3 linked regions of the Lepisosteus oculatus genome follow. The protein of the gene in region 1 purifies or fractionates together with the protein of each later gene. This does not show direct contact. Links are inferred from orthologs where the notes say so. Each region holds a gene or a part of one and is shown in the gene's direction. Other genes may lie near its edges.

Region 1 (9,136 bases):
GACATTTGAGGGTTCGTTCTTGCTCCCTCTTTAACTACAATGTTTTGTTTAATTTTTTAAATGCTAAACGAAATCTGATGTTCCCCGTTTCAAAAATAAAAGACTCTGTGCACTTTTGTACAAAGTGATGTTTACCTAATGTATTTCTTTATATTTCTGTGAATAAAAATAAGTGAACACTGTTTTAAAAAAAATCCCACAGCGTCCATGTCTGTTTCAGGCTTTAAAAATCGTTTCTGTGACCATTTGCACTTTTTCTCAGTTCCAGCTTCAGAGAACAGTGAGGCAGTGTTCTGGCTGTGGTCAGGAGGATTACGTTAGGACTGAATAAATTAGTGGAAGTGAACAGGAGGCTTCTGACCGAGGCAGAGTAAGGAGGTCAGACCTGGAGCCCTGTTGTTACAGAGACCCCTGCTGGCCAGAGAGGCCTATGGCAGGAGTGTGCATTATGTCTGTTAATTCCGGCTCGGCGCTTAACAACCTAGATCAGAACACTACTGGTTTAACTGGGTTAATTTCAGCAACTTCACCCAGCTTTTCCAGAGCTGGTGCTTTAATGACATTATAAATCCTGCAGATGCAGGACAAGGATTGGACAGCCCTGGTCCTGGAGAGGTCCCTGGCCAGCAGGTTTTATAAGTGACTATCAAATTAAATAATCAATTTCTAAAGCACCGTAGCAACATAATGATAAATTAAACAGGTGATCTGTGACAGTTCTGTAATTTAGAGATCTTTACAAACACACATCTGTATACCCTTCAGCTCTCAGGAATCAGATTAACCTCCATTAAACAAATTTCAGGCTTCACTAATCAATACCCGCAAGAGGTGGAGGCTCCACTCCCCACTGGGGTGGAGAGTTTGGAGAACCCCCAAGACCTGGATCTGGGTTTTTCTGGACCAGGTCTGGAGACCCCTGCCTTTAAGAACACAACAAATTAAAACTGTGACTGTGGCAGGATTTCTACTTGCTGAGCTGATGTAACACCACGCAGTAAAATCGCTCACAAGTGGCCCAAACACAAAAAGTCTCCTTACTACCTGAGAATCTCCAGTCTTTATCATCGAAAGTGTCCGCGCGTGGAAGAAAAACTAACGCCCTATACAGAGACTAACAGAAAGGCCCCAGTTTCTGCTCTCCGAGTTCTCTTCTGATGCCGCTGGACTGTCTCTCCCCTGACCCTAATGAACAAATGTTTATTAAAAAAAACACTGAGCAAGACAACAAATTAAAGAAGAGACATAAAAAAGGAATAAGGCTGATCACATAAATTCTAGAGATAAGCAACTGACCTTGCTGGCAGAGTTTTGTTTACCAGCAAAATGCAATCTATCAGTAATCTATATTACTTTCATGAGAACAACGTCAGAAGATTAATGTGTTTAGTTTTTCCAGTCTCTATTCCACAGAGTTGATTTTGCCACTGAAGTATGATGAGAGGGAACACTGCTGTAGGACTTGCCTTCAAGGGTCTGACTCCTCTTTCAAAGACTCTGTGGCAGCTCGTGTGAGAGTGGGGGTGCACACCCAGCGCCCTGGATAGACTCCCCTCTGGGCGTCCAGAGTCTGGCCTCCCGAAGCTCTCCTTCCTCCAACGGGTGCAGTCCCTTCTCGCTCCTCCCCGATCTGTGCAGTGGGGCAGCTCTTCAGAGCCGGGTGAAATGGGTCCTCTTCCAGATGTGAAGCTTTTTTTGGGAGCCTCTGGGAAGAAAAAACACACAAGAAATTCAAGGAGGTTGTTATTCAGGTGTGGTCGAACCCTGGTGAAGGAGACGATTTGCGCTGCGAATAGCGAGCTTTCCTGGGGACACTGACCTGGTTGAGCAGGAAGCCCAACCCGTCCATAAGGGCGGGGCTGGCCGAAAACACGCCTCGCTGGGAGAGATGCGAAACCTGGCAGCGTGCCGGGGCGTCAGCGGCGCCAGCCCCCGAGTCCGGGATGAGCCAGTGAAGCTGTTGCACTTCTGTGCAGGGGCTCCTGCCAGTGGGCCGGCGCTTCAGGGGGCCTGAAGTGGGTCCCCTCCTATCTGCACGGGTCTTTGGGATCTCTCAGGATGGAAAAGCACTACATGAACGCAATTAACTCGTCTACAAATTACAAGGAAAAGACCACAGCATATACAGTGTTCTCCCATATATTTTATTCTTTAAATACAAATGTACATATTCTATTCATGACTGGAGTTAACATGCCCCACCACATTCATGACACGAAAGAAGTATTCAGATTCTTTTTTTTTTCTTTTACGGCCTAAGAAGATTGTGTTTTATGAACCTTCTCTTTTAACCTCGCTGTTTAATGAGCATCATGGTTTTCCTGCACATACACGCAGCCACACAGTGGCGAGACAGTCACCATCAGTGCTTTCAAATGAAAACCTTGGTGGTTTCAAGGTTTTTTACACCAGTAAGGTTTATTCTGGACACGTGCAGGACCTCTGGGGAGCGCTGCTCTGTCTAACCAGGCGTTGCCAAACATGTCCACACAGTAGTTATTTAATAATAATTAATAATAATTGCTTATACTTATATAGCGCTTTTCTGGACACTCCACTCAAAGCGCTTTACAGGTAATGGGGATCCCCTCCACCACCACCAATGTGCAGCATCCATTGTGAGCAAGACTGCTGGAGAGAACGCCTAGGGAGCCCGGGACACTACTGACACCATCTGTTTCCTGCTGAATTCCCCAAATCAGGGTGGAAAACCCTGTGAACTTACTTTCTGCTGCCAACTTCTGGCAGCAGGTATAGCTAATGTGCTGCAGCCTGTGTAGTCTTGTACAGCACTGTACGGCATGTTAGTACTGTAGCACTCAGAGCTCCAGCTGAGCTCCTCACGGTATCCCAGATAGCAAGCCCCACACACACATTTTTGAAAACATTCCTGGTGCTGGACAACCTTTTAATAAAAGCAATACAACCATTATCAGTATTTGACTGTTCATGTGTAACAGCAAATTGTATCAGCACAGAAATTTGCTTAAAAAGTTATCTTTTTCCAGGAAATGACAGAGGATTATAAAATCCCAGTTATCTCTGTCAAACAACTGCCAGATATTTTAGTACTTTTTTACTGGCCTTAATATTTTACCAGCCTGCATAAATTGAGCACACCTGTAAAGGGATTTTCCAATTTGACTGAGAATGAGTTTGAATTAATCACCTGACACTGATGCACCAGTAAATGTGATTCAAAGGGCTTGTTTCAGATCTCAGAACAGCAAGCAGCACCTCAAAAATATCCTCCACCCAAGGAATAGGTGGGGTGTTTTAAAATGGATGGATCACTCTGCCCCCGGTTTAACCTGACGCAGAAAGAAGAGCTTGGGATCCAGAAAAACACTGGATTCTCAAGACAAGTTGGAAATATACCACGTATATGAGTGTAATGACAATAAACTTGAACTTGAAACACGTTGTCAGCACCTTCCCTTGACACCTTAAAGACCAGCATCAGGAAATGATGACCAGACGAGCAAAATAAGTCCAAGCTAAATTCGAGGCCCTAAATAGTACCTGGCCTGGCAGGTGTGGCAGGGCCCGACGGGCCGTCTCGGGTCGGTGCCGCAGCGCTGGCTGCCCCTGTGTCCGAGCGCAGGGGTCAAGGGCGCCGCTCAGCCGTGGGCCCTGGTGTTGAACAGGAAGACCATGCCGAGCGCCATCAGCAGGCCGGCAGACACTTCGGCCAGCTTGCCCATCCGCCAGCGCGCGCCCTGCGCCCGCCGCCGCAGCTCCTCCTGCCGCCACCGCTGCGCCCGCTCCCGCGCCAGCTGCTCGCCGTAGTGCTCCCGGTAGAAGGCGTCGAAGTCGAAGATGGGCCGGCCCCCGGGGGCCCCCTGCGGGGCGGCCGGCCCCGGCGGGGGCGCGTCCCTGGGCGACGGCCGGCCGGCCTCCCGCACGTCCTCCTGGCTCAGCAGCCCGCGGTCGTACTTCCTGCGCAGCCCGGCGCTGCCCAGGACGCTGTAGGCCTCGCTGATCTGGAAGAACCGCAGGGCGGCCTCCTTGCTGCCCGCGTTCTTGTCGGGGTGGTAGAGGAAGGACTGCCTGTAGTAGGCCGTCTTGATCTGCGCCTGCGTGGCGCTGGGGGACACCTCCAGGATGTCGTAATAGGCCGTCCTGCTCCGGTGGAGCGGCGGCGCCTTCCCGGCGTGCCCGCTGCAAGCGCGGGCCGGCTGCAGACCGCCCGCGAGCCCCCGCGCCTCGCGCCCGGCCCTCTGCCACGCGCGGTGCCCCCCGGCTGCCGCGAGCACGGCGCCGCGCGCCGGCCAGACGAAGCGGACCTTCCGTCCGGGGCTTGTGAGCGGCGCGACCCCGTCCTGCCCGGCAGGCAGCTCACCGTGTGCGGGCAGTGCGGAGTCGCCGCCCTCCGGGGTGGCGGGCTCGACCCCAGCCTCATCCGTCTTCCCCGGCCAGCTCCCAGACTCCCCGGCAGCCGGCGGACACTGACACACGCCATGGACTTCGTTAACTATCCGAGCGCTCGCCTGCGCAGTGCCGAACCCCGCAAACGCTGCCTTTTGCCGGCAGGTCAGGACTCTGCAGGCTCCCCTTCCAGCTCTCCAGCTGACCTCCGCCATCGCTGCCGGCGAACAAGCGGCAGCAGACAACGTCCAGTAGGTCTGACAGCCGACCAATCACAGAGATACACTGGGGCGCGATCGACCAATCACAGAGAGACTCTGGGAAGCACGCCGGAAGGTGCGGCCCAGTTATCCAATCAGAGACGACCCGGAAGCCGTCAGCGTCACGTGTGGAGAACATGTTACACAAGAGCGCACTTCTGAACTCATATTGAATAACGCGAAGTAATCAGAAATAGAGTAGACTTTCATCAGTTTCAGTTTTCCCACGGCTTAGTACACAATCGTACATCAGTTATAGTGAAGAAAACGTATTACTAAATATGTAATAGACGTGGTCTGAAATACTGAAAACTAAATATTAGGTTTTAGAGGAAAAATAGTATAGAAAGTATTATAAACAGAATTATAAAGAAATTATTTCTACCACGTATTATTACTACGAAATGTCTGTAGAGGTTTCACAGTATTTTTGGAGTAGACACTGTATTGCTACTAATTGTTTTAGTAAAACAGAATTAGTATATTCAGATAAGGTCAATGTAAATCTAACAGCAGCGCTAAGTAAAGCGTACTCAGTAGGAACATTATGAGCCAATCCTACAAAAAGCACAGTAGCTCCCATCGACTAATCAGCCTAAAAATATTCAATCTATGCATACCGTAAAACGAAACGCGAATTACTTTAAGAATTCGTCTCTCATGTAATTGCGGTTTATGATACACTCCTTGAATTAGAAAAAATGAAACACTCTTTAACAACTGAATTCCAGCCACTGAGTCGCAGAGTGATGATGTCATGCAGTCCGGCCATGTGTCTCTGGGAGACGTGAGGGGTAGCCGAGAGTTTGTTGGGGACTGTTCGCCCTCTTTCTGTGTTGCTGGTTTCAGTTGAAAACCAAACATGTCTTCGAGTTGTCGTAGACCCGAGCATATGGCACCGCCAGAGGTGGTAAGTGGCCTGTATTGTGCTTAGTTATTCCGGTGTTTTCATGAACACGGGCACCAGACGAGCAGTGCAGAAAGCAAGCAGGGCTTTTAAGACCGAGGTGTGGTGCGCTTTCCATGTTGTACTGTGTTGAATCTTTATAAAGGCATGTTCAGAAGTTGGAGGCGGTCTTTCTACCTTTGCTTGTATTTATACTTCAGTGGTATAACGTTACGATGACTGTCGTTGTGTAGGGTGTTTAAGGTGCGCACGGGAACTTTTCTAGGTTTTAATGTGTATGCATATTCGACGGAGCTGTGTTTAATTCTGTGTAGGCAGTTTTTACTGCTAATCTTGTTTACCATCTGATGTTGTTTTCTTACTACGAGCAAATTCAGCCGTGAGTTAATGATCTTTTACTTATTCCATCTACTGCTGCACAAGATATGAATCCTCCCGATCCCACTGTTTACTCGCCAAGAAGGCCAAATAACGTCCGTGAACAGACACAGTAATATTAATATATTTAAAACAGCATCTGTCTGAAAGAACTGTATCCTGTCTAAATTGCCAAGAGGTTTGCTCGGATCGTTTTGTTTTTCTACGCTAGTTCACTGTATGCACTCTAGGAAAAGGAGCATTTGAGGTTTTTGAGAAAATCCGTTCTGACTAATGGTTATACATAGTCATAGACATAGACATCGTCAAAGTAATGCATCTCACTGCAATTAGAGGGCCACTTTAAGGTGCAGGTAATTTATTGGGGTCGAGCTGCCCTTCTCAAAGCAGGTGAGGAGGAATATTGCTGTCACACAGGGCTCTGAAGCCGGATCCAGTGCCATGTGCCAACTGCTTTTTTTCTTGAAACTGGCAGGGTCATGTGATACTTGCTAGAGTAATCCTGTGCTCTTTTCATTCTGCAGTTCTACAATGAAGAGGAGGCCAGGAAGTATTCACAGAAGTAAGAGTTTTCTCTTGTTGTCTGCAGATTGTACTGGAAATTCAAGTGTTGTTCACAGCATTTGACTTTATACCTGTGATCACTGCACTGCCTTGCTGTTAATCTGAGATTTTGAGTCAAAGGTCAATTCTGTGCCTCCTGTCACAGTTTGCTGATTTCTGATCTGTTAACTCTTGTTAGAAATGTGTTCTGTGCTTTCAGTTAAATCTTCTTAAACTGTTGCCTTGCATTTTCCACTGATACCCCTTCTACCTGTCTATTCTATCCCATTCTATTACACTGCCTCATTTCTTCAAAGTCTGCTTTCCTGATGTTGGTTGTTAATTCGGACTCCATCTGCAGAGTTTCACATATTCCTCCAAGCACACCTTGTTCTGATCAGTCAGTTCTGCATGCTTGCAGTGCCGTGCAGTTTGCTCCTGGGTTTAGAGAACATTAAGAACCCCCTTGCCTCTGTCTTCTGTGCACATAGCACCTGTTTCACTGTGGCCAGTTTCCCAGCAGCAGTTCAATACCTTCCGGCTCTCCGAGTCTGCCAGTCGATTCTCTTCGTGTGACCCTGGCGGTGTGGTTGGGTTGCAGCTCCCGTATGATCGAGATCCAGACCCAGATGTCTGAGAGAGCCGTCGAGCTCCTGAACCTGCCCGAGGACCAGCCCTGCTACCTCCTGGATGTGGGGTAAGTGTCCGTCCCCGGGGTCCTGGCTGTTTCAGGGTGACTGACCGATGCCTATAACTGCATGTCAGTGGCCTTTAGCTTGGAGTGTCCATGGTCCTCCGTAGCCACAGGGGGTTCTGCTTTTCATACAAATTGAGTTTTATTGTTTCAAGTCATTTGTTTTCTTCATCAGCCTTTTCACGGGTCTTTAAATAAATCAAATCAATACTGATCCTGGTCATAGAATTGATTTAAGAACTCCTGCCCTCTGTCGCTCACAGTTCGTAAAATATCTTAGATTGAAGCCTTTTTTAAAACATTTGATTCTCAGAGTAGTCTGTGCATTTTAGCAAATCTTTCATCAAGGCAGGCAGTTTTCTATACATTTTCCCTGTATGAGTCACTCCTGTTTTTATTTGGATCGGTTTTGGTTTTGTTCATCCTAGACTGAGTCTGACCCACTTCAGGTTTTCCAAGCTTCTGGCTGTTGTCCTTACTGTAGTGATGAAATGGAAAGATAGATCACGTAAAGCACTGTTTGTGGCGTTGGCTTGTGAAAGAACTTGTACTTGGTAAATCATGACATGGATCTTGCTGCTGCGGCGCTGGAGCCTGACGTGTTCCTCTGCTTGGTGGGTGCAGGTGTGGCTCGGGGCTCAGTGGGGACTACCTCTCCGAACAGGGACACTACTGGGTAGGAGTGGACATCAGCACGGCCATGCTGGGTAAGCCTGCAGCTTTCTTTTTCTCCACACCGCACCCCGACACACACAGACACACCTTCAGATCTTAGTGATCATTGCAGTGCTCTTACTGCCTGCTCTGTAATCTGTGCTCCCATTTCTCATAAAGTTCACTGGAAGCCAACTGGGTGTGGAGCTCTATCTTGGATACCCCTGCCTGGTCTCTCACTTTCACTAGTTTAGTGCTGTGGTTTTTAAGTACAATTCTGGCTGTTAGAGCCAGGTGAGATAAAATACTTCAAGCCTGCTTTCTCCGTCTCCTAACCCTGCCTTTGTGCTGTGAATTAAATTTGAAATTTCCTCTTGGTCTCTAGAATAGAGCTGCCTACCCGAGCACATCTTCCACAACTTCTCCTGAGTCTAGAGAGCTACAGCTTTGTAGGCTTTATAGGAAACTTAAACCCCTCAATGGACGAAGACCTGGTTAGACATCTTCCTCTCAGTCAGAGGTCCCCAGTCCTGGTCCTGGAGGGCTGATGTGTCTGCAGGTTTTCCAGGTCTCTTTTAAAGAACCAACACCCGAAGAAGGGAAAAAGTAGTAAATTGGTCCAGTTAAGCCCATAATGAGATGATCATGTAGTTAGAAGCCCAGCTGGCCTGAAAACCTCCAGGACCAGGACTGGGGATCCCTAATCTAAATCTTTTAAACTGTTGTGTGTAACTGAGAGAGAGAGGTGTGCTGGTGGAAGAACTAACTGAGCCTCACTATTGTGTGTCCTGACATGGGCTCAGTTATCCATAGGGAGAAAGGACCAGAATCAAAAGACAATCAAAGTCCCCTGTTATCCAGTCTCCTCTGTGTGGTGGTTGTGCATGTGACTCAAAGCCCTCTCACGCTTCTGCTCTGCCTGTGCCAGATGTGGCCCTTGACCGGGAGGTGGAGGGAGACCTGCTCCTGGGAGACATGGGACAGGGCCTGCCCTTCAGGCCCGGTGCCTTCGACGGGTGCATCAGGTAGGCCCCGCTCCCCCGGTCTCACCCCGGCCGGAGCCAGACCCCGCGCGCGGCTGACGTCTCGCTTGTCCTGTGTCTCTGCCAGCATCTCGGCCCTGCAGTGGCTGTGCAACGCGGACAAGAAGACGCACAGCCCCCCCAGGCGTCTGTACAGGTTCTTCAGCACGCTCTATGGCGCATTGGTAAGAATGGCCTGCATGCCGGGGGGCTTTAGTAGAGCCGAGTGTTAGCTGCGCAGCTTGGAGGCCTGGGACTGCAACCTCTTTTATTTCCCTTGCTTTTGGGATCATCGGATGTCCTCGTATCG
Region 2 (10,201 bases), on another chromosome or scaffold:
GTTGCAGCAGAATGACAGCCGACCTTTCAGCAGGACCTGCTCGAGTCAAAAGCCTCACAGGCTCCCAGTCCCCCCAGTGAGCATCAGCATAAACTGACACCGACGCCCACACATCACTCATACTGTGAAGACTGCAAACAAAAGGAAGGGTTTTACCCAAAGAGTTGTGGGAGTGTGGAACAACCTCCCCACCTTGATTGCAGGAGAGAGAGGGATGTTTCTCTGCCTGCTCTTGGATGGGTTAGTTTCCTAGCAACTGCCCCAGGGGAAACGGGCAGGACAGGCCCCTGAGCTGGCGCGGGGAACATCACGAGCCCACGGGCACAAACACCAGACTGAGGCGCTTTATTGAGCGTGGGAAACACTACAGAGGATACACACAGGCAGGGGCAGCGACCCTGGCCCCCTGGAGGGAGAGATGGTGTCAGCCGGCTGCCGCCAGGCACTGGGGAGCCTGAGGTCCAGTCCGGTCCTGGCTGGCCCACGCCCACAGGCCCGGCCGGCTCACAGCAGCTCCGACAGGACGTTGGAGGCCAGACTGCAGGTGAGGCCGGTGCCGTCCGGTTCAACGCTGAGTTTCCGCACCACACCGTCCTCCACCAGCATGACGTACCTGCGGGGACACACACAGAGCGTCACACTGCGGCCCGTGAACACTCGGACACACACACCCTGCAGAGAGTGACCACTTCAACACGCTGCTCCCCCAGTGGACACAGACCCGCCCGCTGTCCAGCTGTGTCCAGTCCCCACTCCCACACACTACACCCAGGGCATCTCGCCAACTGGTCAGCGGAGGCCACCACAGGCTGCCCTCTACCCCAGGGGACTGGTCAGCGGGGGGGACAGAGCAGCGAGAGCCCCTGGGGACTGGTCAATGACTCGCAGAGCGCCCCCCAGCCCAGCCCTGACCCACCTCTTGGACCGCGGGTTGCCCAGAACCTCCAGGAAGTGCTCAGTGTCCAGAACCAGGTCCACCGCCTGAGAGAGAGAGAACCAGCGGCTCAGAGATCAGAACTTCACAGACGCCGAAATACCCCCCATTCCTGCCCCCCCCCCCCCGCCGGCGCCCCCTGCTGCTCACCCTGGTGAAGGCGCCTGTGGGGTCAGCCAGCATCCGCACCTGCAGGGACAGACAGACGGCCGCGGGTCAGCGAGAAACTCCTGCGACAGTACCCCCTCGCCCCCTCGTGACAGTACCCCCCTCCTCCTCTCCCCCTCGCCCCCCTGACAGTACCCCCCTCCCTTCACCCTCGCGACAGTACCTCCCTCCCCTCCCCCCCTGACAGTACCCCCCTCCTCTCGCCCCCCTGACAGTACCCCCCTCCCTTCACACTCACCCCTGTGACAGTACCCCCCTCCTCTCGCGCCCTCGCCCCCCTGACAGTACCCCCCTCCTCTCACGCCCTCGCCCCCCTGACAGTACCCCCCTCCTCTCGCCCCTGTGACAGTACCCCCTCCTCTCCCCCCGCCCTCGCGACAGTACCCCCCTCCTCTCGCCCTCGCCCCTGTGACAGTACCCCCTCCTCTCGCCCCTGTGACAGTACCCCCTCCTCTCGCGCCCTCGCCCCCGTGACAGTACCCCCTCCTCTCGCCCCTGTGACAGTACCCCCTCCTCTCGCGCCCTCGCCCCCCTGACAGTACCCCCCTCCTCTCCCCTCGCCCCTGTGACAGTACCCCCTCCTCTCCCCTCGCCCCTGTGACAGTACCCCCTCCCCTCACCTTGCCCTGGGCGCTGTGCTCCCGGCCCCAGGCCTCCATCACGAAGGCGTCGTTCACGGACACACACGCCACCTCCTGGATGCCCCGCGCGCGCAGCTGGTCCGCCTGCTGTATGAAGCCGGGCAGGTGAGTCTGCAGGCAGGGGAGAGGGGAATGAGGAGGAGGCTCTTCAACACCAACCCACCAGCAAGAACCTGGCTCCAGGTGTTTCAGAGTGTACTCCAACCCACTGCCCTATACGGCAGGGAAGTGTGGGGTCCCCTCACAGACCAGGGGTACACTCACCCCAGAGAAACTCTGCACATGGAGATCTGTAGAAACCTACCTGCAGAACCCTAAACAGACAATACACACTAGCCGAATATCTAACCAAGATAAATAACAGCAAACAGTGAGCCTGTCTCTCAATAATAATAATACAGTGTGTGATCTCCTGTCCCAGCCTGAGGAATAGTGAGCCTGTCTCTCAATAATAATAATACAGTGTGTGATCTCCTGTCCCAGCCTGAGGAATAGTGAGCCTGTCTCTCAATAATAATAATACAGTGTGTGATCTCCTGTCCCAGCCTGAGGAATAGTGAGCCTGTCTCCCAGTAATGCTCCAGATGTCTGTTTGTAAATATTTTATGACCATGTCTTTATTGTAAATGTCTGTAGGTTGTATTTCTTTCGCTCTGGCAACGCGGATTGTACTCATAGGTCATGCCAGTGAAGCACCTTGAAGTGAACTGAGAGAGAGAGAGGGGAGGGGGCTCTGGGCCGTACCTTGGAGCAGCCGGGGGTGAAAGCCCCTGGCACTGCGAACAGGACCCCCTTCTTCCCCTTGAACAGCTGGTCCATGGCGACCTTCGACCCCGGGTCTCCCTCGTGCACCTCCACTGCGGGCAGCTTGTCTCCTACCTGGGAGAGAGGAGGAGGAGGAGGAGGAGGGGGTGAGGAGACGGACACAGAGCGGCAGGACTGGGGCGCACCGACGCCACCTTTACACTGAGGGCGGTGGGTGCCGGGAACAAGCCGCCCACCCGCAGCGAGGGGTGCGCCCCTGAGCTAGCCGTCCTGCGGGCAGGAGGGGCGACACGGCGCCTCGGCGGAGGAGGGAAGGAATAGGAGGGGACACACGGCGGAGAAAGGAGGAAGGAGACGGTCGCGTCCAGTAAATGAAAGGTTTCCGAGATGAGGAAACACTTCCACGCGTGATGAAACAGGAACGCAGAGCCGGATGCCAGGCGCGTTTAGAAATCAGTTTCTTCTTTTTGCGTGTTGAAATCTGGAGCCGTGTGCGGTGGGGCGGGGCGGGGGGGTGGTGCTGTGGGAGCGGCGTTGTGTAAGCGGCGCCCTGCGTCACATTATTATATATATGACATTAATTAGCACGGCCGGGATGAAGAAGGCCCGGGCGGACCGTGCGCTCGGCGTCGCCCATCTCGTCCCGGCGCTCAGGGCTGGGTTGTCAGCTGTCGGGACTCCGGAGAAGTCTGGCGGAGTCTCGGCCCCGACACCGCCGCCGCCCACCGAGACCTGCACCGCCGGCAGCCCCGGTCCCCAACCCCCGCAGCCCGTGTCCCGCAGGCGCCGAGCGGGGGGCCGTGCGTGTCCCGCAGAGGCCGGGCTGGCTCTTACCTTGATGGGCATGTTCGCGACGGCAGAGGCGTGGAGGCGTCGTGCGGGCAGGAGCAGCGTTCCTCGGGCCAGCGACGCGAGAATCATGTTGCCCCGCAGGTGCGCGTCTATATATAGCGACGGCGGATCTGGGCTCTGAGGAGGCGGGAGGAAAGGAGGGGGGGGGGGGCGTGAGGAGCAGAAAGACAACAAGAAGGAGAAACTACTCGCTAGCGAAGACAGTGCGTCCACCCCTGGTGACGGGACAAACTGCGAACTGGAAACCGGCGGCCATTTTGGCTCCGGCTGCGGAGCCGCAGCGCCCGGCCGTACTCCACCGCCGGAGCCAACATGGCGGAAGGAGGGGCCCAGTGCCGGCAGGCAGGCAGGCAGCAGCAGGTGCCCACCCCCACCAGGTGTGCGAGAGTTGCATCAGGCCTCTCGGGAGGAGCGGCAGGCCCGTGTGATGTACACACTGCGCCTGTTTGTACCCACAACAGGACCCGGGTCCGATTACTGCGCGCGGATCAGGTATCCAGCGGCCCCGGCGCGTCGGGCCTCTCGTTCAGACAGGCGTGCAAGGCGACAGGCAGCCCCCCACGTCTCCCCCACACACCCGGGGTCCCCCCCGCCTGTCTCCTCACACGCCTGGAATTGTTTTAAAAAATGGTATTAAACGTATGAAGAATTTACAAATCCAACCAGAGGATCAGAAACAGGAACAAGGAGGAAGAAACAGGAGCAGTCAGCTGCCGGAGGGGATGAAGTAAATTGCGTGATCAGAGGGTGTTTTTTACAGATGTGTAAAATCAAATGTGCTCCTTGCTTTAGCATTTTTCACATCTTTTATGGAATTTAAATAGTGTTTCAACTCCACCTCAAAAGTACTATAAAGGGGAGTACTATTAGACCACTTTGAGTTGTGACTGTGAAGTTCACCCAGAATGGCTAATAAATTTACTATAATGCATAGCAATACATTTATATTTACATCTATATATTCATATGTGTGATACGATTTTTCTGTGTACTGTTCTGTTCTAGTTTGTTCTTTGTGTGTCCAGACTGTGAGAAACTCTTTTCGTGCACCCCTCACTGTACTGATTGTATTGTATGTGTTGTACTATTATTATTATTATTATTATTATTATTATTGTATCATTCGTCACACTGCGGCTGTGTTGTCTGTGTAAAGCTGCTGTTGCACTGCAATTTCCCTCACGGGATCAATAAAGTATCTATAAATCAATGCTCTTTTTCCAATGTTTCTATTACATATTACCATAAAATATCGAAATCCTTAAATCTAAATAAGCACCTTTGACTGCCTGCAAACAAAACTCTGCACGTCCGTCCGGAACAGCTTCACAAACACCCGAGCAAGTAACAGGTTTATTCCAGGCGGAAAAGAGAGAACACACAACGTTTCGGCTGTGAGGCCTTCTTCAGGCGTGAGAGAAACGTTGCGTTTTCTCTCTTCTCTTCTCCACCTGGAATAAACCTGTTTCTTGTCCCCTTTGCAGCCTGACCCTGCGGACGCCGCTCCCCACCTGCGCTGCTTTACAAATTCCCCTCAGGTGCGCTGGGATTCCCGGAGCCGGTTGCCCTGGCGACCGCGTCATAAGCCCCGCCTCCCCGTGGTGATGTAATGACCCGCTTTCCTGGAAGGATGAGCCAGCGAGAAAATAAACGGCCCCGGATGACCGTTGCCGTGGTGACCGAGGAGGAAGGAGGAAGTGAAACTGGAGCCGCCGGCTCGGCGGGGAGAGACGCGGTGCCCCTGAGCTCTCTATGTGGGTCAGTGGGCGCAGAGTGCCCCCCCAAACACACGGGCGCGCGTTTCACCGCCAGCCTGGTGGTGTCCAGCTACACCTGCGGTGTTTTCTAACACACAGCCTGGCGGGTCTGGGGTTAATCTGGGCTGACCGGTCCCCCTGCACGCCTCTGGGCCGACTCGTTCTTGTCCGTAAACTAGTACCACTCAACTGCGGCCCACCACGCAGAGCAGGGCGGTGTTTTCAAACCTGGGAGCGGGAGGCCCTTCTGTACACAGAGGGTGGCGGGAGTGTGGAACAAGCCGCCGTGTCCATAGACGGACAGGTGTGTGCCACAGGACACCCCGATGTCTTTCAGGAGTCAGCCGGATGAGAGCCGGGGACCAGTTAGCAGACAGGCTGAGGGGCTCCTCTCCTCTCCTGTTTCTCTGTTCGTGACTAGTGGGGACACGTCACCCCGACTGGAAGATTCTCTCCCGGTATTTACAGACGCGCTGTCCACAGGCTCTGATGCGGGTGGTCACTCCCCTGTCCCTGTTACTGAGCCAGAGGTCGGGTCAGAGCCCAGCCTCTTGACGGAACCTCCCAGTTCCTCTGTAACTGAAACCCAAGCGCACCATTGTTCGAGAATCTTTTCAACAGCAGCCAGGAACGGGCGGAGGGAGGATCAGTTCCTGTAAGAGACTGGGTCAGGATGAGAAGGAACAGGTGAAGGTCTATTTCAGAATCGCCACTTAAAAACTCAACTCAACTGAGGCACGAACTAGGGCGGGAGCGGCGAGGGGCACAGAGCCCCAGAACCCGAATCCGGTACAATAACAGAAGGACAGACAATGAAATGTGGGCTATTTCGAAGTCGCCAATGTGAGATAAAAAGTCGCAATTGCGAGATACAAAGTCACAATTCTGAGATATAAAGTCGCAATTCTGAGATACAAAGTCACAATTGCGAGATGCCATAGCGCGTTGTTTTTACTCCCCGATAGAAAGGGGCTTTCATACAGGTGTGCCGAAACAGCGTGGAATAAACCGTGTTCCCTATGGAGAAGCGGGAATGTATTTACCACACTCCGTAAGGGCTCTTTAGAAATCCCCCGGGTGATTCTTGAACATAGTGACGAGCTGCGGGAGTTGTTGTCAAGAAAAACAACGCCGTGTGATCTGTACCATAAAACGTGGGTTCGTTCGATTCCTCATTCTGTGGCGGAACCAGTTGTTCCGCAACGTGTGCGTCCTGGGGGACGTATTTTACTGCTGTACCAGCTCCCGCTTCTTCCGGTCCATGCTTCCACCACAAACACCACCGGTGGGCCTCTCGACTCGGCGTGAGTTTTTCCCCACAGCGACACCAGGACGCTGATCCCGCGCGTGTGCCTCCCACGGTTCCTCCAGCGTGTCTCGCTGCGTGTCGGCCCCCGTCTCGGGATGAAGCTCATCACGCACAACATGCTGACCTCGCACGTGAAGGGGGTCACCAAGGGCTACCCGCTGCTGATTAAAGTAAGGCTGTTAATTACCCCCTGCTCATTAGGGCGCATGTGTTCACGCAAGGACAGTTCATTACAGACCGATACTATGGGGGGGTGTTTTTCAGTTAAAGAAGTTTAAAATAAGTATGACCGATGGCGCCCTAACTAAACCACTGTACCTTTTAACAGTCTTTACAATGACTGACAATATAGCGAGCACTGCGCTGTTAAAAGTGTGAAGTGTACGACAGAATCTGCCTCCATGCGCGTCTCTCTGTCCTGACGGGCCTCTCTGTGTATCGATTCAGTTCAATTCCAGGTGCTTTATTGGCATGACCGGTGAGTACAATCAGTGTTGCCAGAGCAAAACAAATACAGTTCACATAAAACAACAATCTACAGACATTTACAATAAAGACACGGTCATGAGATATTCACATATAAACATCTGGAGCATTGGTGGGAGACAGACTCACTGTTCCTCAGGCTGGGACAGGAGATCACATACTGGGCTGCCAGTTCAATTGAGTTCCCTCCTCCCTCTCCCAGTAGAATTGGGACCCGTTGTGATTCTGTCAGGTGTGGGAACTCTGGGATTAGATTTCTGAATTTCGGGAAGAATGTTTCTCTAATTCCAGAGTGTCTGTCACAGTGCAGTAGGAAGTGCACCTCTGTCTCCATTTCTCCCTGTTGGCAGTGGGAGCACAGCCTGTCCTCTCTAGACAGCCAGGTCTGCCTGTGTCCAGTTTCTATGTCCAGGCTGTGCTCACTGAGCCTGTCCTCTCTGGGCAGCCAGGTCTGCCTGTGTCCAGTGTCTGTGTCCAGGCTGTGTTGTGCGTTGTGTGTATTGTGCCGTGATGGGGTTGAGTCTGAGTAACGAGTCTCTCTGTCTCTCTGTCTCTCTGTCTCCCTGCTCAGGCCACGGAGGTGCAGGTCAGTGAGGTGGAGTTTAACCCGGAGTTCCTGTCCCGGATGATTCCCAAGCTGGAGTGGGGGGTGCTGGTGCAGGCGGCCGACAGCGTGAGTCAGCTGTCCTGTCTCGGAGAGACCGCTGGGGCCGCGGCCGGGCTGTGACCCTCCTCCTTTCTCTCTCTCCAGCTGGGCCACCTGAACGACCTTCCTAACGAGCTGGCTCCTGAGCACGAGAAGGACGAGGAGTTCCTGCGCAGGGTCCACCGCGTGCTGCTGGAGGTGAGCTGGTACTGCGCACACTCACTCTCCCCTGCACACCCGCCTCTCACTCTCCCCTGCACACCTGCCTCTCACTCTCCCCTCTCACTCTCCCCTGCACACCCGCCTCTCACTCTCCCCTCTCACTCTCCCCCTGCACACCCGCCTCTCACTCTCCCCTCTCACTCTCCCCCTGCACACCCGCCTCTCACTCTCCCCTCTCACTCTCCCCCTGCACACCCGCCTCTCACTCTCCCCCTGCACACCCGCCTCTCACTCTCCTCCTGCACACCCGCCTCTCACTCTCCCCTGCACACCCGCCTCTCACTCTCCCCTCTCACTCTCCCCCTGCACACCCGCCTCTCACTCTCCCCTGCACACCCGCCTCTCACTCTCCCCTCTCACTCCCCCCTGCACACCCGCCTCTCACTCTCCCCTCTCACTCTCCCCTGCACACCCGCCTCTCACTCTCCCCCTGCACTCTCCCCTCTCACTCTCCCCTGCACACCTGCCTCTCACTCTCCCCCTGCACACCTGCCTCTCACTCTCCCCTCTCACTCTCCCCCTGCACACCTGCCTCTCACTCTCCCCCTGCACACCTGCCTCTCACTCTCCCCTCTCACTCTCCCCTGCACACCTGCCTCTCACTCTCCCCTCTCACTCTCCCCCTGCACACCTGCCTCTCACTCTCCCCTCTCACTCTCCCCCTGCACACCCGCCTCTCACTCTCCCCCTGCACACCCGCCTCTCACTCTCCCCTCTCACTCTCCCCTGCACACCTGCCTCTCACTCTCCCCTCTCACTCTCCCCTGCACACCCGCCTCTCACTCTCCCCTCTCACTCTCCCCTGCACACCTGCCTCTCACTCTCCCCTCTCACTCTCCCCTCTCACTCTCCCCTGCACACCTGCCTCTCACTGTCCAAAGATGTATCTTGGAAGCTGTAAAGAACTTGGTTTTCCAGGGGTAACCCCCACCTCTCTCTCTCTCTCTCTCTCTCTCTCTCTCTCTCTCTCAGGTGGAGGTGATGGAGGGCAGCCTGCAGTGTCCAGAGTCGGGACACCAGTTCCCCATTACCAAGGGGGTCCCCAACATGCTATTGAGTGAGGATGAGAGTTAGAGAGAATACGTCTGTTCACAGCTACCGACACGAGCCCTGCCCCTGTGTCTGAACCAGCTCTTCACTGTGTGACACTGCACTGGGGTGTCCAGTGGGGTCAGTGCTGGGGGGTCACACTGCACTGGGGTGTCCAGTTGGGTCAGGGCTGGGGGTCACACTGCCCTGGGGTGTCCAGTGGGGTCGGCGCTGGGGGGGTCACACTGCACTGGGGTGTCCAGTGGGGTCAGGGCTGGGGGTCACACTGCACTGGGGTGTCCAGTGGAGTCAGGGCTGGGGGGGCTCACACTGCACTGAGGTGTCCAGTGGGGTCAGCGCTGGGGCTCACACTGTACTGGGGTGTCCAGTGGGGTCAGTGTTGGGGGTTACACTGCATTGGGGTGTCCAGTGGGGTCAGTGCTGGGGGTCACACTGCACTGAGGTGTCCAGTGGGGTCAGCGCTGGGGCTCACACTGTACTGGGGTGTCCAGTGGGGTCAGTGCTGGGGGTTACACTGCACTGGGGTGTCCAGTGGGGTCAGTGCTGGGGGTCACACTGCACTGGGGTGTCCAGTGGGGTCAGGGCTGGGCTCTTATATGATCTGCAGAGGCAGACTTGGTCAGTTCATTGATTAGCTGATTTAGGACAGGGGCCACCCGCTGGGGTGGCTGAACAAACCCCTGCCACTGGTCCAGACTGACCCTTGACCCCTCTGGGCAGGCCAGCCTGCTCCTGTGAATGAACTCGCTCCAGACACAGGGGCACTGCTGTCAGCTGCTGTGCTATAAACTATTTATTTTCATCCGTCTTGCTGTGATTTAAATTTGATTTCAGTTTTTTGTCCAGTGTAGGACTGAGACAGACCCCGTGTTCTACAAACATGTCGAGTCTGTGAAACAGAAAAAATAAAAGTTAAACTCGACCACCAGCTTCTCTGTGTCCTCAGGTCTTCTTCCACTCTTTCTTGACCTGGACGGGTACGTCAAGGGTACATGTGATAAGGACAGGGAACAGGTGCACAGATCCTGTACAGAGATAGGTGTGTGGACAGAGACAGGCACAGTAGACAGGTGTGTGTGTGGTCAGAGACAGGTCCAGTGGACAGGTGTGTGTGGATAGAGACCAGTACAGTAGACAGGTATGTGTGTGGACAGAGACAGGTGTGTGGTCAGAGACAGGTCCAGTGGACAGGTGTGTGTGGATAGAGACAGGTCCAGTGGACAGGTGGGTGTGGATAGAGACAGGTCCAGTGGACAGGTGTGGGTGTGGACAGAGACAGATACAGTGGACAGCTGTGTGTGGACACAGGGTCAGTTCCACCTACCGTCGAGAGCCGCGTCACACAAGAACACGCCAGACCAGAGGAGCGGT
Region 3 (10,019 bases), on another chromosome or scaffold:
CCTCCCTGAGCACTGAAGCACTCCCTGAGCACTCCCTGAGCACACCTGAGCACTCCCGGTGCTGAAGACGAGATGCCAAATTCGGGCTCATGCCGCAGTGTACTGCTGCCTAACTCCCTCCCTGGTGTCGGCCGTTTGCTGTGGCCAAAACCAAGAGCTAAACAAACGACTGCGAGATGACTGGACCCGACACGGCACTGACAGACCCAGTCCTGTCTGACCTCCTCCTGGGCAAACGCGCCCCCCCTCCCTCCCCCTTACCATGGTGAGCTTGTCCTGGTCCCACAGCGAGCCGATGATGAACGCCACGAGCCGGCCTTCCTCGAACCAGCCCAGAGACAGCTCGGGGCACAGGCTCAGGAAGTGACGCACCTCATCCAGGTACAGGGGGCACTCTCCCGACACCGAGATGAAAGCTTCCAGAGAATTAAAAAAAAAAGTATTATTTTTTTTTAAATCCGACGGGAGCGAACCAGCTCCGCACAAACCCCAGCCAGGGAGGAGACCCTTAACGCCGCCAAAGTCCAGAAAGTAAGAATTTCATCTCCCCCTTTGATGAGCTTCACACTGCCCTGTGACCTCACCTGCCTTCCCCATCAGTGAAAGTCAGAAACCAGCCAAACATTTCCTCCACTCAGTAACGCCTTCATAGCCTGGCAGAGGAAGGAAACCAAATGTTTCCCCAAGTCTACCAAGATCCTGGCCGTCGCTGTGACCTCAAGTTTTAGAGACAGGCGCATGAGCAACTTTTAAAGGCTCAACGTTTTAATTTTAGCGAACAAAACTAGAGCAGCGGGCGAGTCACGCAGCCGCGCGTCCAGCGCCGCCCGTTGTAAGGTCTTGCCTTCATGACAATAAGGAGGAACTACAGTACCCCCGTGGGAAAAGCCCCGCAGATTCACCTCCTCAGCTGGCGGGTCCCGGGCCTCTTACCTTCCCTCTCGATCTCGAACACGCTGATGGCGTCCTCGGGGCTGAGGCACCGGAACTCGCTGGCCGGCAGGGTGTGCCGGCGCTGGCGGCCGGGCGACAGCGGGCACCGCAGGTGAACGGGCTTCAGGAAGGGCAGAGCGCTCACTACAGACATATCGCACCGGCTGGCCTCTCGGGGAGAAGGTGTCCTCTGTGACTTCCGCCGCTCTTCGCGTTTTTTGCAGCACCACCGGAGCCGAGTCACCTGAGGAGAGAGAATGGCTTGATGGACTAGGGCAGCCCCGTATTTATACCGCTATGTGTCCGGCGATTTAAATTCCATTAAGCACCCCGGTCATTACTTAGGCTGGATGACAGCTCTGTACATTATCTTTACAAACGAGCGACACGGCGCGCATTTACATTTCAATTACTCGTGTTTGACGACTGCTTGAACAAAGGGATTGAGATGGGGTTTTTTTTTTTAAAAAAAACTAAAATCTGAGGTCAGCTGGTGCGGTCACAAAATTGAATCCGACGCTGCTGCTGCCTGAGTGTTTCTAATTGACGGTTATACCGTGTGAAGAGTTCAAACGACTGAATTGCTTGCGATGTACGAACTAGGTTGCCTTGTGACAGGTTGGTGATGTAGTTGGGACTATTGAACAGCATCCCTTTTGATATTTAATAATAGTAGGTCTTAAGTGTATGGACATAAAACTTAACACATGTTGTACTGTACCTTATTGTGTCTTTTAAAGAATATTTTACTGTTGACGGGTCATTCTGTTTTAAATACTCTAACTTGTGTGCTTTTTTCATCGGAAAACCGAACGAAGCGAAATACTTACCAAACACAGGAGAGTATATAGCGTCAGTGCTATTATTAACGGTTATTATGACCGCGAGTACGAATCTTTAACACACTCGTTATAATTAAAAATAGAGGCTATAATTCCACAGTGAAAAGTAGGAAAAGAGGAAAAGAAAGGGGGGCGCATGCGTCTGCAGAGGCTCTGCAGGTGTGAAGGGAGCTGGAATCATAATATCGATCATCCTCACACTTATATAGCGCTTTTCTGGACACTCCACTCAAAGCACTTTACAGGTAATGGGGATCCCCTCCACCATCACCAATGTGCAGCATCCACCTGGATGATGCGACGGCAGCCATAGTGCACCAGTGCTCTCCCCACACACCAGCTCTCAGTGGGGAGGAGAGCAGAGTGAGGAAGCCAGTTCAGAGATGGGGGTTATTAGGAGGCCAAGATGGTAAAGGCCAGGGTGAAACTTGGCCAGGACACATGGATAAAACTCCTCTTTTCGAGAAAAAAACTCTGATTTTTAATGGCCACAGGACCTCGGTTTTACATCTCATCCAAAGGACGGCACCTTTTTTTAAAGTATGTCCCCATCTCTATATTGTGGCATTAGGACCCACACAGATTGGAGGGTGAGAGCGCCCCCCACTGGTCCACTTACACCTCTTCCAGCAGCAACCTTATTTTTTCCCAGGGGTCTCCCATGCAGGTACTGGCCAGGCTCACACCTGCTGAGCTCCAGTGGGCTGCCAGTGAGGAGCTGCGGGGCGTTGTATCTGCTGGTTATAGGAGGCATGAATAAGGGGGAAAGGTGGTGGTTAGGAATTTAGGGATAATTTTTGCTTCCAGTTTGGAGTCAGAGTCCTGGAATCCCTGTAATGGACACAGAGAGTGAGGGTCAGAGGGACCGGGGTCCTCAGGGAGAACATGGGGAACTCACAGCTGGGGCAGATATGGGCCATCACGGCTCTGAACTGTCCAGTCACTGAGCAGGGAGAGCTGAAGATCCCCGAGTGGGGCAGTTAACAACAGCAAGAGCCGAAGATCCCCGAGTGGGGCAGTTAACAACAGCAAGAGCCGAAGATCCCCGAGTGGGGCAGTTAACAACAGCAAGAGTCGAAGATCCCCGAGTGGGGCAGTTAACAACAGCAAGAGCCGAAGATCCCCGAGTGGGGCAGTTAACAACAGCAAGAGCCGAAGATCCCCGAGTGGGGCAGTTAACAACAGCAAGAGCCAAAGATCCCCGAGTGGGGCAGTTAACAACAGCAAGAGCCGAAGATCCCCGAGTGGGGCAGGTCAGAACAGGGAGTGCCAGTGATGGCAGAGCACACCTGCTGTTGCACAGGAAAGGGTGAAGGTTCCTTCGGCACCACTGCTCTGTGGCAGCCTAGGCATGCTGAGGCAGCTCCCTGCTCCCCCGCATCCTGTGTCCCTCGGCGATCTAGTCGATTGTCTTAAATCTCTGATTTCTGCCTCCCACACTACCCCTATAACTTCAGCTGGTCATCTCTTCAGTCCCTTTCTCACACACACCCTCCCTACCTATTCTCTCAATCTCTTACCCTCCTCACCCCCCTCTCCGCCTCTCCCCCACCAACACCGGCTCTCTTCGCCTTCACTAGATCCTCCGCGCTTCGACAGATTCCCGTTCGACCCGCACCAGGGTTTGCACAATCATCGATTAACTATCTTTTTTTCGGGAAAAAAAAACTTCAGCGGATTTGTGAAATATTACGTGACAACAATACGTCCATGCGCGCAGGCCGCTCGAGTTAAAAGAGTGTTTAAAAGTTAAAAATAGTAAGCTACAGCGCACGGGTCACAACAGTTCCAACTTGTGTTTTTTTTTTTACTTGTTCGGCGCAAACGAGAGCAAAGCGCCCGCAAACTGCTTCAGTTCTCGGGGTGACTCACCCTGAGCGAGTGAGTGATTAATGTGCAGTTTCCGTTAATAGGCGCACACTCCACCCCATTAATTCTGTATAATTAAAATCCATTAACAGCTGATATAAAGGAGACGGCGCTGCTGTTAGGATGCTGATTTTGTGTCAAACATCAGACGTCATTTGAAAAACACGCAGAATTTGCTCCCGGTATTAGCTCTGCTTTAATCGGTGTTCACGAATCTCTTTTCATGAGGGATGATCTAATGATATGTTCAAAATCTTTCGAGTACAACCTTGTTTTTTTTTTTCTTCTTTACAGATCTTCTGCTAGCAACCTCTGTGATCGAAATAGCGCTTTTCTGGTAGTTTCTTTTCCGTTGGACGAAATCGTACATGGTACTTACCTCTGAGTGAAACTGTGTTTCTTAAAAGGAGGTGTTAAGCGATGCGTCAGCTGTCGGCTCCTGCCTCCGTCTTGTTTGACGCTGTTGTGCGCCGGGAACCTGCTTCTCGCACAGGTATGGCGCTAGTTCGCGGTCACGTGGTGGTCATTAGCGTCTCAGGTCAGTCCCGATCAGAAAGGCACGGCCCTTTGGACCAGCCTGTCAAGCGCCCGTAAAACACACTGGGTCCTGATGCCGAGGACTGTAACAACGGGGTGCAAAAAAAGTCGTGTGACTTTGTCTGCGGTACCCATCGGGCTTCGGTGTGTCCAGAAATCGGCCCTGCGCCAACCCACGTCTCCACATCCGCACGAAACTCCCGTTCTTGGTGAATTGTCCGGGCTCTTGTCGTTCTTCCCGGCATTTCAACTCCTTCCTCGCCAATAGGGAGTGAATGCAACCCCGTAGGCATGAAGCCTAAACATATCTGTTAGCGTGGGTACGGTCGTTTCAGCGTCCACCATCCTTGATGACTCAAGATGGGTGATTAAGCAGTGTACGGCTGGACATACTTGCGTCCGAATGAAACACAAAGAATCTTGCAAATGAAGGAATTTTACTTGCTTCGCTTTTATGGCGACATTGTTTCGCACCCTCCAGTTTTACGTGCAAGGACAGAAAGGCCCAAGTAAATTTATTCGACGACGCTGTTCGCACCCGTGTGACGGCGGATTCTACAGAACTCCCTGCGACAAGACGGGCAGAAAGTGAGAAGGACAGGTTTCACTTCCACCCTTGTCATCGTTATAAATCGTCGCTGCAGTTGTTCGGCGTTTTCAAACAACCCTGCCGCGCAATTTGCGAAACACACACCGGGGTTCTGGCAAACTTGAGACGATTAGCTTCGCCTGCGAGGGGCTGTTTTTGTGTGTGTGTGTGTAAAAAGACCTGTTCTTTTTCAGCAGAGGCTCCTGTCCAGGCTCGCTCGAGTACAATAAGCGCAGTAAGACGAGTCCCGATTTCATGGCTACCTGTAACCGAACCACACAGCACAATAGTGTAATGTCCGATACGTCATAACATTTTGAAACGAGATTAAGGAAAAGGAATGAGACTCATAACGGGTAGTACAAAAAAATGATTACCGAGTTATTACATGATGATATTGCTTTTCTAGAGAGTGTCAGTGCAGCGCTGGCGAATTACAGGTGTGTAGCCGACAGCGTGTCATTTCATTGTCTGCAAGAATAAGGGAAAGCCGTGAAATTATATTCCATACAGGGGACTATTGTTTCTGGATATCGTTGTGTTAATTACTGTACTGACGGGGTTTTTAGTCATTTTAGTTGAGAGCCTCAGCAACAGCTCGATACGCTGTGTTGTCTCAGCACAACTGAAAGCAAAGCGTCTCTCGAAACACCTCGACGCGCCCTCGGATCGGTGCGGAGGGAGCTATTTAAATGGAAAATATAGGGCGAGCCTGACATCTTGTGGTAAAAGGGATATTTACACCTCACAGGAATGAGTTGCAACTTTCTGCTCTGTAGGGGGGGGGCTGTTTCTATACCCATGGGTGCGCATTGAGCGAAAGGACTGTATTCTAGGGAGACTTTTGCGGGAAGCGGACACATGGTCAGGCACTCTGAAATGTATTTCTTCGATTGCAATCTTTATCTGAAACGAAGAAAAACAACCAGTGCGTTAACCGCCTTAATTCTGACTTTCACGGCAGCGTTTCTTATAAAAAGCCAATTTTTAGCTTGAGCGCAACTCTTAAGAAGCGCTGTGTGTTGTATTTCCGAAGGAGCATGATCCTGTTGAGCGATAATAATAATAATAATAATAATAATAATAATAATAATAATAATAATAACACCGCTTTCAAAGGGACAGCTCAACTTTTCTGTAAAGCCTTAACCTTTTCTGAAACTGCACATTCAGACTCGCGTTCCAGGAGGATCGAGGCCACAAACACTAAGAGAGAAGCCAAACACAAAACAGAAAAGACAAAGAGGGGGGGGACGAGAAATCCCTGAATACCCTTTCAGCTCGGCGGGGGGGGCGGGCTTCCCCCCTCGCCGCCCGAAGATGCGTGTGCGCCTATACGGAGGGTAATACGGCCCTCAAGCGGCGACACCTCTGCTCTGACGGTGGGCTCTCCCACTGGCGGCGCACGCAGGGCTTGCGTGTCGACGTAAACACGTGTGGTCCCTGGTTACAGATTTCTCTTTCTCTTTTCTCATCCTCCACTCCCCCCCCCCTCTCGCCTCTCTCTCTCTCTCATCACCCAGTCCCTGATTACGGCGATAGTGATGGCGGACCCCGCAGCGGCAGGGGTAGCGACGGCAGCTGCTGCTGCTGCATCTCCATCTCCCACCCCGGCCCTCTCTCCCGCAGGCAGCCCGGGCTCCGACCCGCCCTCCCAGGCTCTCTCGCCCTCGGCAGGCGGCTCCCAGCGGCTGCTCTTCTCCCACGACCTGGTCTCCGGCCGGTACCGAGGCTCGGTCCGGTTCGGCCTGGTCAGGCTGATCCACGGCGAGGAGGACTTCGACTCCGACTCGGATGTTGGAGACGGGGGAGGAGGAGGAGGCGGCGGCGGGGACGGCGGCGGGGGTGTAGCCGGCAGCTCAGACACGGAGAGCGGGGCGGCGGACACCCGGGCCCGGCCTCTGGGAAGAGGCTATGTCCGGGTGCAGTGGTACCCCGAAGGAGGCAAGCAAGACATCCGAGAAACCAAGGTAATCCTCAGCGCAGTGACAGCAGTGAGCCACAGTGGGCTTGTTTCACATTAGAGGTTATTGTCCGTGTCATGTCGCCTTCTTAGCTAGCGGTCCAGTCGCAAGTGCATTAACTAGTTTGAGCAAAGGGGAGGTTGGGTGTGCGCGGCACGAACTGTGCTAGTTTTATTTATTTTTAATGAATGGAGAGGTGAAGGGAGGCTACCTGCGGCTGTAGCTATGCAGCTGTGACACACACACACACGCACAGGAGCTCCTGCGAGGCGAGGCGAGGCGAGGCGAGACGTTTCCGCCTTGCGGAGATTTTGAATGAAAAAGGAAGGAGTCGGACCCGCTGCGCCCGGGCTCGGAAATGCCAACCTGTAACGCAGCCCGCCCAGACGCACCGGCGGCTTGAGGCTCGGTTCGGGAAGATCGCAGAGCGTGGTGCGGTCCACCCAGGAGGGCTGAAGTTCGCGGACGCGTCCAGTTCACAGTCGCATAGGAGAGGTGCGAGAAGGACCGGACGCTTTCAGACCTCAGGCGGTGCGGGGTTTCGATATCGCAGTGTGTGCTTGGCCTGCGGATCACGGGCCTGGAACAATAACGCTTTCATTGACCGAAACCGTTATAAAAAAAAACACAAATACCGCTCTGCCCGATATATATATATACACACGGTGCACGGAGCGGTGCAAAAGCGCAGCGAGACGCATGGTCGTGCCGTAGCGAGAAAAGGATCTCTTCTGCACCCCTTCCAGCAGAACAATAGTAAGAAACGAGGCGGCGAGTTCAGGGGTGTCTTTGATAGCGCTGAATGCCGTAATATTGACAAGTAAACTGCTCTGCTGCAGGGGAGAGGCAGGCCAGGCAGCACCAACTAATGGTTTTCAGAAAACAACCACCACCAGCACACCAAGGAATGAAACTGGGCCCAGCTTTGTATTATTCCTGGGGGGGGGGCTTTGTTTCCTACAGTGACTCTCTCCTGACTCCAGTCCCTGGTGCCACTCTTGCTTTGAGAACGGAGGCTGTGTTCAGTGGAAGGCCGGGCCCTCAGACTCGGTTCCCAGAGGGCCTGGTGTCATCTGTTTTCTCTTTCCAGCCCAAGAGCAGTCAATTCAACTTTTAACCTAATTATTTTCTTATTTGGACGTACCTGGGTGTTTGCGATGATCCTAAACGCGCACTTCACTGGAGGCACAGGTAACTGCAAGCCCCAGTGTTCAGCTGGAGCCAAACCCAGACGACTCCAGGCCCCGCAGGCACTGGGCTGGAGCCCCTGGTGTGAGGGGGTCTTGGTTGGTGTTGTTGCAGGCCTGTCTTGGGCTTATTGGGAGAGGCCTAGACTATGTGCCTTATCTCTGCCCTGAAGCTTGAGTGAGCGTTAGCAAGCTTGAGCCTGCTGCATGTTCATGGTCCACGTTAGGATGGACTCCCATGTGTACACGATTCCTTATACCTTTGTTCACTTAGCATCTGAACGGCTCTGTGGGGCCGAGCGCCTCGCTCCCCTTTCGGTTGAGAGTAGCTGGGGATGTTAACGGCGCTGTTTGCCGGGCTCTTTCTCGCCTGGGCCGTACTGGTAAAGGCTGTACAAGTCATCATTGTACAAAACAAAAGCAGCACAGGCAGTGCAGTGTTTGGCTTGCTGCTGAAGTGATAGATGCTTTATTGTCCGCTGCTGTGGAAGTTTGTCTTTGGCTTCTCCCACAGAAGCACAAAACATAAGAGTCTCGTAAAATCACATGGAATCACAGCAGCAGTATGATGCATAAGTACTCGGATAAATTAATAGGTAGAGGGAGGAGAGCCTTTCCATAATTTTATTGCAGAGGAGACATAGGACTTCTTATAAATGGTTTTTATTTGTTCCTTGCCGTTCTGAGAGCTGTATTATGACACCGGATGGGCGCTGCAAAACTGCATTAGTGCTTCTCCCTTCCAAGGCCCTGTTGCAGTTGTCGGCCTCTAATGTTACGCCTCGCTGCAGCGATTTCAGATTTCAGGGCGCTCGTGCTGCGGTAGAGGCCAGCAGGCCAAGCGAGCAAGCGCCCCTGTGTCTCGTGTTCAGAGACCAGGGCCCCTCTGCAGTCCGGCCCACGCTGCTGGACGTGACGCAGAAGTGGACAGGCACAAGCAGGCTGTTCCTCTTGGTGTTGAGGGAGTCCTTTCTCACTTAGAGGGTGCGCTGGTGGGAATGAATTCCTGGTGGCTTTTAAAACCTTTGAGTTGGCAGTACGACTGATACGACTAATGTGTTGTTGTTGTTTTTTTTTTTCCTCCAAAGACTTTGACGTTTTTCCCAGCACACACACCCCGTGTGGGGAAATCGGAGGTGAACGGTTTCTGTCCGCTGAAGGGCGCTTGTGGAGACCAAGGCCTGCCAGGACACAGTGTGGGACCCCTCTGGAAACACACATCTGGGGACTAGGGTTTGAGGGCTGACGGCCACCTCTCTTGACAGATCCTTAACACTCCCACCCCCCACCCAGGTGTCTCCAGTCTCGTGAAGAATTCATTAGATTTGTTTAGCGTCTCCAGACGTGGCTTTAATGTGCCTGTGTCTTGATAGCTGTGTCGTCAGTTTTCCCAGTCACGTGAACTCTCCTGGAGAGATTCCCCAGGGTGGCACGCAGACGGAGTTTATTACAGTCCTCCTCACACTTGGGCTGTCGTTTGTGATTCTGCGCAGGTGCATTTTCGTGTAGGGTACTTAAGAGCTTCAAGTTTGTCCTCGCCATCCTGTCTTCCTGACTGGCGTTATCAGAGAGCCGCGCTTGAAAGGAAACACTCGTCTCCTTGTCTGAACTCGTACTTACTGGGAGTTTGGTCAGTAAACAGGACACCACTTTAAACACCAGTTAATAACGCAAGGCTCTTACAGTGAGTCATATTTTCTAATTGCACTGTTTTATTTCCACAATTTTTCCCTTTTAATTTTTTTTAAACCTGACAGATTCCTTGATCTTTTTGAGCTGATCCGAGAAACATCCCTTTCTGGGATGCTTCCCTGAAAAATGTGTGGCTGACACTATCTCCTGGCCGTGCGACTGCAACTCCAGCAGTGAGACAGGAAAGTGTGGAAATAGTACTGCTTAAACTAACAAGTCCCACATTCTCCGTGTAGCTGAGCGCTGTCACATTTTTCCTTTGCATGTTAATATGTGATCGGTGTGTACGTACAAATCTGTCAGTTAGCTGCGTTGTTACCCAAAGTGCTCCATGGATTGAATACGTTCATATTATTGCATCTTTCTGATGTTTTTTATGTGCTGGTTTAAAAAGGTTGCGTGGCGA

What was found. Proteins that work in one complex are often made in the same cells at the same time.
Region 2: the proteins of bud23 (region 1) and trmt112 purify together in Homo sapiens (affinity purification with mass spectrometry; 5 studies listed by BioGRID and IntAct, counting the BioPlex papers as one, with this or other methods). This does not show direct contact. The link is inferred for Lepisosteus oculatus from reciprocal best matches to the Homo sapiens genes BUD23 and TRMT112.
Region 3: the proteins of bud23 (region 1) and ube2o purify together in Homo sapiens (affinity purification with mass spectrometry; 5 studies listed by BioGRID and IntAct, counting the BioPlex papers as one, with this or other methods). This does not show direct contact. The link is inferred for Lepisosteus oculatus from reciprocal best matches to the Homo sapiens genes BUD23 and UBE2O.

What each region holds. Positions count from the first base shown.
Region 1 is NC_090721.1:874,497-883,632, reverse strand, and holds the start of bud23 (18S rRNA (guanine-N(7))-methyltransferase), read left to right. Parts: upstream 1-5,215; 5' UTR 5,216-5,490; coding exon 5,491-5,538; intron 5,539-6,437; coding exon 6,438-6,475; intron 6,476-7,057; coding exon 7,058-7,153; intron 7,154-7,774; coding exon 7,775-7,857; intron 7,858-8,732; coding exon 8,733-8,829; intron 8,830-8,914; coding exon 8,915-9,011; intron 9,012-9,136. Other genes in the region: dnaJ homolog subfamily C member 30, mitochondrial, read right to left, coding at 3,621-4,583.
Region 2 is NC_090713.1:23,019,172-23,029,372, forward strand, and holds trmt112 (multifunctional methyltransferase subunit TRM112-like protein), read left to right. Parts: upstream 1-6,367; 5' UTR 6,368-6,521; coding exon 6,522-6,596; intron 6,597-7,483; coding exon 7,484-7,585; intron 7,586-7,663; coding exon 7,664-7,756; intron 7,757-8,752; coding exon 8,753-8,854; 3' UTR 8,855-9,758; downstream 9,759-10,201. Other genes in the region: prdx5 (peroxiredoxin-5, mitochondrial), read right to left, coding at 505-613, 917-981, 1,085-1,123, 1,723-1,854, 2,488-2,622, 3,343-3,477, 5,346-5,411. UniProt on the Homo sapiens protein: Acts as an activator of both rRNA/tRNA and protein methyltransferases. Together with methyltransferase BUD23, methylates the N(7) position of a guanine in 18S rRNA.
Region 3 is NC_090704.1:45,372,809-45,382,827, forward strand, and holds the start of ube2o ((E3-independent) E2 ubiquitin-conjugating enzyme UBE2O), read left to right. Parts: upstream 1-6,185; 5' UTR 6,186-6,314; coding exon 6,315-6,740; intron 6,741-7,065; exon of another isoform or gene 7,066-7,229; intron 7,230-10,019. Other genes in the region: aanat1 (serotonin N-acetyltransferase), read right to left, coding at 262-416, 934-1,087. UniProt on the Homo sapiens protein: E2/E3 hybrid ubiquitin-protein ligase that displays both E2 and E3 ligase activities and mediates monoubiquitination of target proteins. Negatively regulates TRAF6-mediated NF-kappa-B activation independently of its E2 activity.